Arabidopsis thaliana: one gene and its partner. The protein of the gene in region 1 interacts with the protein of each later gene in a pairwise test. Each region holds a gene or a part of one and is shown in the gene's direction. Other genes may lie near its edges.

What was found. The genes of interacting proteins can lie anywhere in the genome.
Region 2: the proteins of ADA2A (region 1) and tny interact in a two-hybrid assay, tested with the Arabidopsis thaliana proteins (one study listed by BioGRID).

Annotation. Positions count from the first base shown.
Region 1 is NC_003074.8:2,469,327-2,475,089, reverse strand, and holds ADA2A (ADA2 2A), read left to right. Parts: upstream 1-1,994; 5' UTR 1,995-2,027; coding exon 2,028-2,080; exon of another isoform or gene 2,081-2,182; intron 2,183-2,308; coding exon 2,309-2,370; intron 2,371-2,453; exon of another isoform or gene 2,454-2,454; coding exon of another isoform or gene 2,455-2,506; coding exon 2,507-2,709; intron 2,710-2,837; coding exon 2,838-2,903; intron 2,904-2,989; coding exon 2,990-3,115; intron 3,116-3,193; coding exon 3,194-3,266; intron 3,267-3,372; coding exon 3,373-3,433; intron 3,434-3,522; coding exon 3,523-3,581; intron 3,582-3,735; coding exon 3,736-3,786; intron 3,787-3,873; coding exon 3,874-4,102; intron 4,103-4,191; coding exon 4,192-4,402; intron 4,403-4,494; coding exon 4,495-4,773; intron 4,774-4,881; coding exon 4,882-5,076; 3' UTR 5,077-5,259; downstream 5,260-5,763. Other genes in the region: AT3G07750 (3'-5'-exoribonuclease family protein), read right to left, coding at 1-111, 202-345, 653-777, 872-950, 1,152-1,244, 1,333-1,389, 1,482-1,604; AT3G07730 (uncharacterized protein), read right to left, coding at 5,484-5,763. UniProt on the Arabidopsis thaliana protein: Required for the function of some acidic activation domains, which activate transcription from a distant site. The exact mechanism of action is not yet known.
Region 2 is NC_003076.8:8,986,042-8,989,912, reverse strand, and holds tny (Integrase-type DNA-binding superfamily protein), read left to right. Parts: upstream 1-2,014; 5' UTR 2,015-2,280; coding exon 2,281-2,937; 3' UTR 2,938-3,371; downstream 3,372-3,871. UniProt on the Arabidopsis thaliana protein: Putative transcriptional activator.

The DNA of each region.
Region 1 (5,763 bases):
TCGTTTGGTTAACCCACATATATGGCCTGTCCGATTCACAGATATAGATACAGCTGAGCTCATCTGAGACTCCTCTTCTGCTGTTGCATCAACTATGTAATGCGTTCCCACCTGCAAAAACCAAGGACAGCATGGTAAAAGATTAGCGAAATGTACATAAGAAGATGTCGATGTGAATCAAGAAAAGTGAGATTCGATTACTTTTGTTAACGTGACTATGACCGGGACACTGGAAGTGTCAAATTGAAGATATTCCTCGTCGCTGATGTCAATCTCTGGTTGCTCATCATCTGCTACTTCAGCTGAAACATTGACTTTTGGGATGGCCGTGTTGGTTAAAGCAGCCTGCAGGAGTATAGTCAACAAGTGCATTAAAGCATGTGATCAGCCTTGAGGAAAGATGACTTTTGGGTTGCTTAAACTATCAATTGGAAACATATCGTAAAGCTACTAAAACCAATAACAAGACAACTACATTGAGCTAATCTATATACACTTAACTAAAGACCCATTCCCTTTCGTTTCCTATATTCTCTGGCCTTTCCTTTCTCATGATTCTGATTGATGGGTATGATTTACTCACTAACATTCGTAACTAAAACCTGAGACTAAGGGTTAAGAGAGAAAACCAAACACACATCACAAGAATTACCTTAATGGCAGCACCCAGGGCATCCAATAGATTCCCATCCGAACTAATGACAAGACCATCAATATAAAGGTCCCAGCAAACTTTTCCTTCTTTGATTAAAAGCGAAGATAAATTTATTCCAGCTCCTGGTACCAAAACATGAATTGCTATAAACGTTACAAACAGAAAGCGTAACAGTGTGCAGGTAAAAAAAAGCATTGCATAAACATGATTGCAGACCTGCTCCACTTTTGCCACCCAGAAGACATCTTTGAAGAGCCAAAGCAAGCTCAGAAGACAATTCCTCACCTCCTCTCCCCTAAGTAACAACATATCACAAAGAATTAGCCGCCTAAAGACTTAACACAGTAGAATTTAGGAGATTCTGAAGAAAAGTAATGATAACCAAAATCTCATGTTGAACAATTCCACTAGTAAGAGAAACACCAATAGAACGATAGAACGGGTGTGACAAGTGCTAGATAGAACCAAAACCAAACGAAATAAAAGAAAAGCTCACCCCAAATGTCGGTTCAGCTGTTGGACTGCAATCAATGAAAACTGCAACCTTTCCTTTATCGGGTTGAAGTGAACTTGGCCTCCCAATTTCAGCCTGCAATTACACAAGATTACTGGGTAACATCTACAATAGCACTTCCCATTCAACAATAGAACAGTAGCAGAGAGAACAAAGGAAGTACCTTTACACTAGCAATCACATCGGTTCCACCAATTCTAACTCTCGCTGAACCATTAGCCTAGAGCCAACAAAAACAAGAGAAAGAACATATCTGTTAAACAACTGGGAAGCAACAATGAGAAGCGGACGAGCTCTAGGAGATTACACTACCTGCGGAATAACACCGGTTTCGACGTAGATAGGACGGTAAGTCAATCTTTTCCGACCATCAGTTCGAAGATCTTGAGCAATCCCACCTTTAATGAAATGTTGTTCCCCAAGAGAAAGCCCCATCACTAATACTACACAGAGAACGAATTAGATCAACTGCTGAGGAATTTCTACCGGAATGACAAACTTCAAGGTTCACGGATTGGTGCTAGGGTTTAAGAGACAGCTCAAACAAAGTACACATCTTTATACAGCACAATCAAAACCCACTAATCTTCTTTACCTTCCCGGAGAATTCAATAGAAGACACAACTCTGAAGTTTTCCGGTGACCCTAGCGGCAACTTTGGATTGGTTAGGTTAAGAGAGAGACGTGACCACTGACAACTGCCGTAGGGTTTAAAGATGGCGTGAACATAATTATTGACACTTGTTAAGGGTAATTTAGTCATTTACCGACTTACCATTTTTTCACTGCTTTTTAGCGTTTTCTCGCTCTTCTGGTTTTTTCTTCAATCTGCCGGGAAGAAGTGCGAGCTTGGTGCCGATGGGTCGTTCGAAACTAGCTTCTCGTCCTGCTGAGGAAGACCTGAATCCAGGGTTCGTTTAAAGTTTCGTTCTTTGTCCATCTTAGCTCGAAGTCTTCTAGGGTTTTCTCTGTTCAATTACTTACTTGTCTTTGCGAAAACATTTCAATATCTGGTAATCCACTTAGCTGTGTTTGATTATCTGAATCGGAGTTCTTTTGGTACTTGTGGGTGGCTCTTGATTTCATACTGCTGTCGTCTCTTGTCTTTATCCTAATTTTGATGATTTTGGCTGTTTCAGAAAATCAAAAAGGAAAAAGATATCATTGGGTCCTGAGAATGCTGCGGCATCAATTTCCACCGGTAGGTTTCCGTTTACTTGTGCAATTAGGTGTGATACTGATAGGACTAAAGTTTCTGCTGTGGATAGATATGCATTGATGTATCATGTACCAAGCTGCGTTTTCCAAAAGTTCTTACATGTACCAATACATTGTAGGAATTGAAGCTGGGAATGAGAGGAAACCTGGCCTTTACTGTTGTAACTATTGCGATAAAGATCTGTCTGGTTTGGTTCGTTTCAAATGTGCTGTTTGTATGGACTTTGATCTTTGTGTGGAATGCTTTTCTGTCGGCGTTGAACTTAATCGTCACAAGAACAGTCACCCATATCGTGTTATGGTTAGTTTCCAACGCCGAGCAGTATATTTGAATTCAATTCAACGCTTTGTCAGCTGAAAAGTAATTAGATTAGTGATTGTGTTTAAAACAAAGAAAATGTTCTATGGTTGTATTTTTGTTTGTATTGAATCTACCCTTTTGTTTGACAGGACAATTTGTCTTTTTCGCTTGTTACTTCTGATTGGAATGCCGATGAAGAGATACTCCTTCTTGAGGTAATCATTAATCGTTTCTGATTGTACACTCCCATGTCTATATAGAGATTCCATCTGACTATTGGGAAGTAAATTGACTGTGTTAGGCCATTGCGACATACGGGTTTGGCAATTGGAAAGAAGTTGCAGACCATGTTGGTAGTAAGACAACGACAGAATGTATTAAACACTTCAATTCTGCTTACATGCAGTCACCATGCTTTCCACTTCCGGTAAGGACTGATGAAAACACATGATCGTCAGATAGTTGAACCTAGCTTGTTTATTTACTCTAGCTCCCCGCTCTGTAGGACTTGTCCCATACTATTGGAAAGAGCAAAGATGAGCTGCTTGCTATGAGTAAAGATAGTGCAGTCAAAACAGGTCAGCTTTAAAATCTATTAGCGGGGTTTCTTGTTGATTTGGGACTCGTATATTAACCTTGACTGAAAAAAGGAGGATGCTGAGCTCTGTTTACTATTTGTCACAGAAATACCTGCATTTGTGAGGCTATCTCCAAAAGAAGAGTTACCTGTGTCAGCTGAAATCAAGTATATACTTATGCTTGTAACAATAGTTTACCTACGTTTACAATGTTGAATGCACCTTTTTAAAAGTACTATTATGTTTCCATGGGCAGACACGAAGCTTCAGGGAAGGTCAATGAAATAGATCCACCTTTGTCTGCCTTAGCTGGAGGTATGTGAAAATGCTTTTATCTATATAAAATTGTAGACATTATTTGCACTTAGATTTATGGCTAAGGACGCAAATCATCCGCATTTCGTACTACGACCCCAAATATTATCTCTTCCATGATTCCATATGTAAAGTAATACTTTTTATTGTACAGTCAAGAAGAAAGGCAATGTACCGCAGGCTAAGGACATCATCAAGTTGGAAGGTTTGTTATATACTGGAACAAGTTTTTATGCAAAGTGATATTTACGCGAACAAAAACTAAAGGTAGTTAACGGCCCTTGTGTCTTAGCTGCAAAACAACAATCTGACAGGAGTGTCGGGGAGAAGAAACTCAGACTTCCTGGAGAGAAAGTTCCATTAGTAACAGAGTTATATGGTTACAATCTAAAGAGGGAAGAATTTGAGATCGAACATGACAACGATGCTGAGCAACTGCTTGCTGACATGGAATTTAAGGATTCTGACACAGATGCTGAGCGTGAGCAGAAACTGCAGGTTCTTCGTATTTACTCGAAAAGGTACACTTATCACAGGAACAACCATTTTTAAACCGGAGAATTTTTTCATAAGCCAATGCTACAAGCCAAGATTGTGCCTTTGTTGGCAGGCTTGATGAGAGGAAGCGGAGGAAGGAATTTGTTCTGGAAAGAAACTTGTTGTACCCTGATCAATATGAGATGAGCCTTTCAGCAGAGGAGAGAAAAATATATAAAAGCTGTAAAGTGTTTGCGCGGTTCCAATCCAAAGAAGAGCACAAGGAACTGATTAAGAAAGTCATTGAAGAGCACCAAATTCTCAGAAGAATCGAGGATCTTCAGGTTTGATGCTTAAAATTTTACCAAGCTTGAGTACTGGATTACAAACTCAATTAGGTGGGAACATTAAGTTGAGCTTTTAATAAATGTTGCAGGAAGCTAGAACTGCTGGTTGCAGGACAACTTCAGACGCAAATAGATTTATAGAAGAGAAGAGAAAGAAGGAAGCTGAAGAAAGTATGCTGCTGCGGCTTAACCACGGTGCACCAGGCAGTATAGCCGGTAAAACACTAAAAAGTCCAAGAGGGTTACCCAGAAATTTGCATCCCTTTGGTTCTGACTCACTGCCAAAGGTCACACCTCCAAGAATATACAGCGGTTTGGACACTTGGGATGTTGATGGTCTCCTTGGAGCTGACTTACTCTCAGAGACCGTAAGAACAATAATTTTCAAACTTGATGTTTGTCATCTTATTTGTGATTTTGTTGATTTGTTGACATTATTCCTATGGTTTGAGAGATTGAAGCTGTTTTTTGTGCAGGAAAAGAAGATGTGCAATGAGACCAGAATACTGCCTGTACACTATTTGAAGATGTTGGATATCTTAACAAGAGAAATAAAGAAGGGGCAGATAAAGAAAAAGTCTGATGCTTATAGCTTCTTCAAAGTAGAGCCGAGTAAAGTAGACAGAGTATATGATATGCTGGTTCATAAGGGAATAGGTGACTCAACATGACTCATAGCTTCATGGTCCTAACATGTACTTCTCGAACATATATTAGCCATGTAAATATAAAGGAAGGTGATGCTGATTTTGGTTACACATCTTGTTCTCTGTTAGTTTCGACAACTTGACAATGTCTGATTGTTATGACCTTCAAAGGCTGTTTCAGATTTTTTGATACAACGTTTAAACTGAATATTGTAATGCCTTCACTCATCTGATTCCTTCAATTTTTGTTATATGAGATCAGAAAGTCTTGAGACATTGCATCAGTTTTCAGGAAAAACCTAAATAAAACCAGATTCTTTGGTTACAAGAAACTACACTGGATCAGATTGCCATCCAACAACAAAGAAAAAAAAAAAAACAGACAGAAATCCAAAAACTTAATCTACATGAAGCCAAAAGCTTTACCATTTCTAAGGTTGCCAACTTTGAGTCTTCTCCCAAGGCTTGAAAACACCATCATGAGAAACATATTTCAAGTAAAAGAAAAAGCCACGCAGCAACTTCAAAGCTCTTGCCTTATCAACACCAACCACAAGCTTGTATTCTTTTTCGAAATCAGGGAAACTTTCTAGATAAGATTGTCCCAGTTCGTCAGTCTCATAATCAGATCCTCTTCCCTTTCGTAGTTCTCTGCATCGAGTCATTTTTTTATGGATTGATACGTAACGATGGAGCTGCTTCATCTCTCCT
Region 2 (3,871 bases), on another chromosome or scaffold:
TTTTGGAATTTAAATCTTAAATTTGTTTGACATTAAAAAAGCGTTTAACTCCATTGTTTAAATTCAATACGGATGGTCCTTCTAAGAGGAAACCTTGCATGATCCTGCAAAAGGACTATACTTTAATTATAATAAATATGATATTTTATATGTTAATATACCTAATAAATTGTTTTATCTGACATAAATTTTTACATTGTAAAAAAATCATTTACGTTTTGATTAGGTATGCTAAGTGTTCGATTCTGAAATTTCACCCCGTTTAGTGTCTAACGATTTTTCGATCGTTAGATATTATATATCAAAATCGACTGAAAAGATTGTTAAAATTCATAAATACTTAAGCACTGTCTACAATTATTTACAATTTTTGGGGCTACATCATTACAATGCAATAATGTCAAAGAATCATAATAAAATTATTTCTGTCGAAATAATTAGATGCAAGGATCTCTTGGATAAAAACGTGCATGCGGAAATCCTTAAGAAAGTTTAGACTTGGCAGCTTTACAATCTCGAATCAACTTAAATTTATCGAACCTGATATGCGTATGCATATATAAACACACATGCTAGACAAAAAAAAGTATTTGAATTTTATAGTTGACAAAAAATATATTCGAATTATATGTATAGATAATGAGTTTGTAGTGACAAGCATGATGATGCATTGAGATCACGATAAGGGATAATTGAACAGTAAATTTGCGATGAAAACATTAAAATAACTAAAAACAGTTGACACACCATTTTCTCCGCGAAGAAGAAAATTCATAAAATCTAATAAAAAGTCACGATCATGTATTAAAATAAAAGATTATTATGTCGGCTCTACACCAAAATAATTTATCTCGTTATATCGATGTTTTCTTGATTCTTGAATTCTAAAGGGGACTTTTATTTATTTATAAATTGAGAACTTTAATGAAATTTGCTTTTAGGAAACACGAGAGATGATTAGTTGCAAATAAGATCCTCATCTTCTACATAATTACATTAGCTCTAACCTTATTTTTCCTTTGTTTCAAAAATCATAATAACCTCTTAAAATAAATAATACAATTTTAGCTAAGTATTATAGCAGAATAATAATCTCTATGACACATGATAAACACTTTAAGTACTATACACGATTAACAACCATAAAACGCTGAATATATGGTTTGATAATTTAGTGATGTGTATTTTTACCTTTTTATCTTTTTAACAAAATAATAACACATATATGATTAATGAATAATGTATTGAATTTGTTTCTGCTATATTTTACTATTAATAACATCATAACGTTTTCATGTTTGTTTGACAAAAAAGTTTTCATGCTTTCAAAATTTGATGATGTTATATGCTATAACTGTATTAGAAATATAATTAGATAAAAACGAAACATTATTAATATATAAAAACAAATCTTATATTGTTTAGCTCGACATTTAGATTATTGTTTTCTGAAGTTATTTTTGTAAACTTTTTATCTTCAAATTGAATAACTAATCATAAAATTAGTTATTAATTAATGTATGGCTGATAAAAAAAGAAAACAAGTCTTATACTAGCTTTTTATAATAACTTGTGGATACTCTATTATAAAGAGTTTTTACTTCTTGATAATTGAGTTGTTACATACTCCTATTATTCATACGACATACAAGTCGTATTTATAGGGTTAGGATAAGTTACCAAAATGTGGAATCACTTGCAATAAATGTGAAAACTTGTGGACTGTTGTCACAACTATTTATTATATTTAGATCTCACACAAAATTTGTTCTGTCAAGTGAATGTATCCAACATGAAATTGGCAAAAGCCAGCTATAAACAAAACCCAAAAAAAAAAACCACCTCTCTCAATAGTAAACAAAAAATAGGATAATAGGGTCATCTAAACACAAGCAAATATGGACTTATGCTGTTGTCATGATAGATAAAAATATGTACGGGTCTTTTAAGAGCATCAAATCAATTTAGCCCGTGGGTCCTTTTTTCTTTTACTTACTTAAAGACTTAGTGCAATATTTGTCCCATATCTCCCTTTACCCCTACCACACCCCACCTCCACCCTCAAACAATTGTTGCATATAAATAAGGAAGTGATTGATAAATGTAGAGACAAATACCCATCAAACTCTGTCTCTCACTTTCCTTCATTATTTACTCATTGCCCAAAATAATTCATTTATCATATCCTCAAACTTTTTTTTTTCTATACCTCGAAATCCAAAAAAATAAATACATTGGTTTAGTGTGGCATTGATGTTTTTGGTATAAAGCTCTTCACCAATGATAGCTTCAGAGAGTACCAAGAGCTGGGAAGCTAGCGCAGTCAGACAAGAGAATGAAGAAGAGAAGAAGAAACCGGTTAAAGATTCCGGTAAGCATCCGGTTTATCGGGGTGTCCGAAAGAGGAACTGGGGAAAATGGGTGTCCGAGATACGTGAACCTAGGAAAAAATCCCGAATATGGCTAGGAACGTTTCCTTCCCCGGAGATGGCGGCGCGTGCACACGACGTAGCCGCTCTTAGCATCAAAGGAGCCTCCGCTATACTCAATTTCCCTGACCTAGCCGGCTCTTTCCCACGCCCTAGCTCGCTTAGCCCTCGAGACATCCAGGTCGCGGCTCTCAAAGCCGCACACATGGAGACCTCACAGTCTTTTTCTTCTTCTTCTTCTTTAACGTTTTCATCTTCACAGTCTTCTTCTTCGCTAGAGTCTCTCGTGTCTTCCTCCGCGACCGGCTCCGAGGAGCTAGGGGAGATTGTAGAGCTCCCAAGTTTGGGATCGAGCTATGATGGTTTGACTCAGCTAGGTAACGAGTTTATATTCTCTGACTCCGCAGACTTATGGCCTTATCCACCGCAATGGTCAGAAGGTGATTACCAAATGATTCCTGCCTCGTTATCACAAGATTGGGATCTTCAAGGACTGTATAATTATTAAGTCATAATCATAAAAATATACTAGTAATGCTGTGTTTAATAATTACTTTTTAATGACCCCTTTATTTTGTATAGGGCGGCTTTAGGTTTATTTGTCTTTGAATCTTCTTTTCTCAATTTGTGGGTGTGAGAGAGCTCGATATATGAATACTTGTACATACTTCTCATAACATGTGTTTTTTTTTTCTTAATAAATGTGGAAACTTTGGAAATGAATAAATTGGACTAGTAGCCAATGGAAGCCACGTACCTTTCTATTTTGAATGTAGGTTAATGTTAATTTAAACGTAATACTGTTGTTTTTAATAACATTGATATAAAAACTATGTAGGTTGTTGATTTAAAATTATTGAAGATTCCTTTTCAGTTTCTTGTTTTCCCCCTTAGAGTTAGAGGTTAAAACTTTCTTCTGATTAAGCATAAATTAATCTTGACCAATTGTTTGTTTTTGCCTTTTCCTGTTTCCACTACCAGTTATTGAATTTTAATATTAGTTGATATATATTAAAATATCCAAACACTTGAATTATTTTGCATTCGAGTCTTGTTGTATTCTAATCAAACAATGACTTTTACTCATTGCATTTCCTTTTGCGACCCAATAGTAGTACAAAAGAATCTCCTCTTCGGTCTCTGGAGCACTAAGTTCAATATTGTGTAATATTGTAATACAAGTGTAGTTAGTTTGATACTATGTGTAAATAAATTAATAACTGTAATGAATGGTTCAAAATGGATCCCACTTTGTTTTTTTTTTGGTCACGATCTTACGTATCTTTTCTTTTTCGTCGTTGAAAAAAGGCTAAAAACTTTAATGATTAACTGTAATTAGAATTCCTCACTATCCATTAATCTTATTAAATAAAAACAGAATCTATTGAAATGACTTCTATATAATCAAAGATTAACATATAATAATAATAAATTAACGTAAA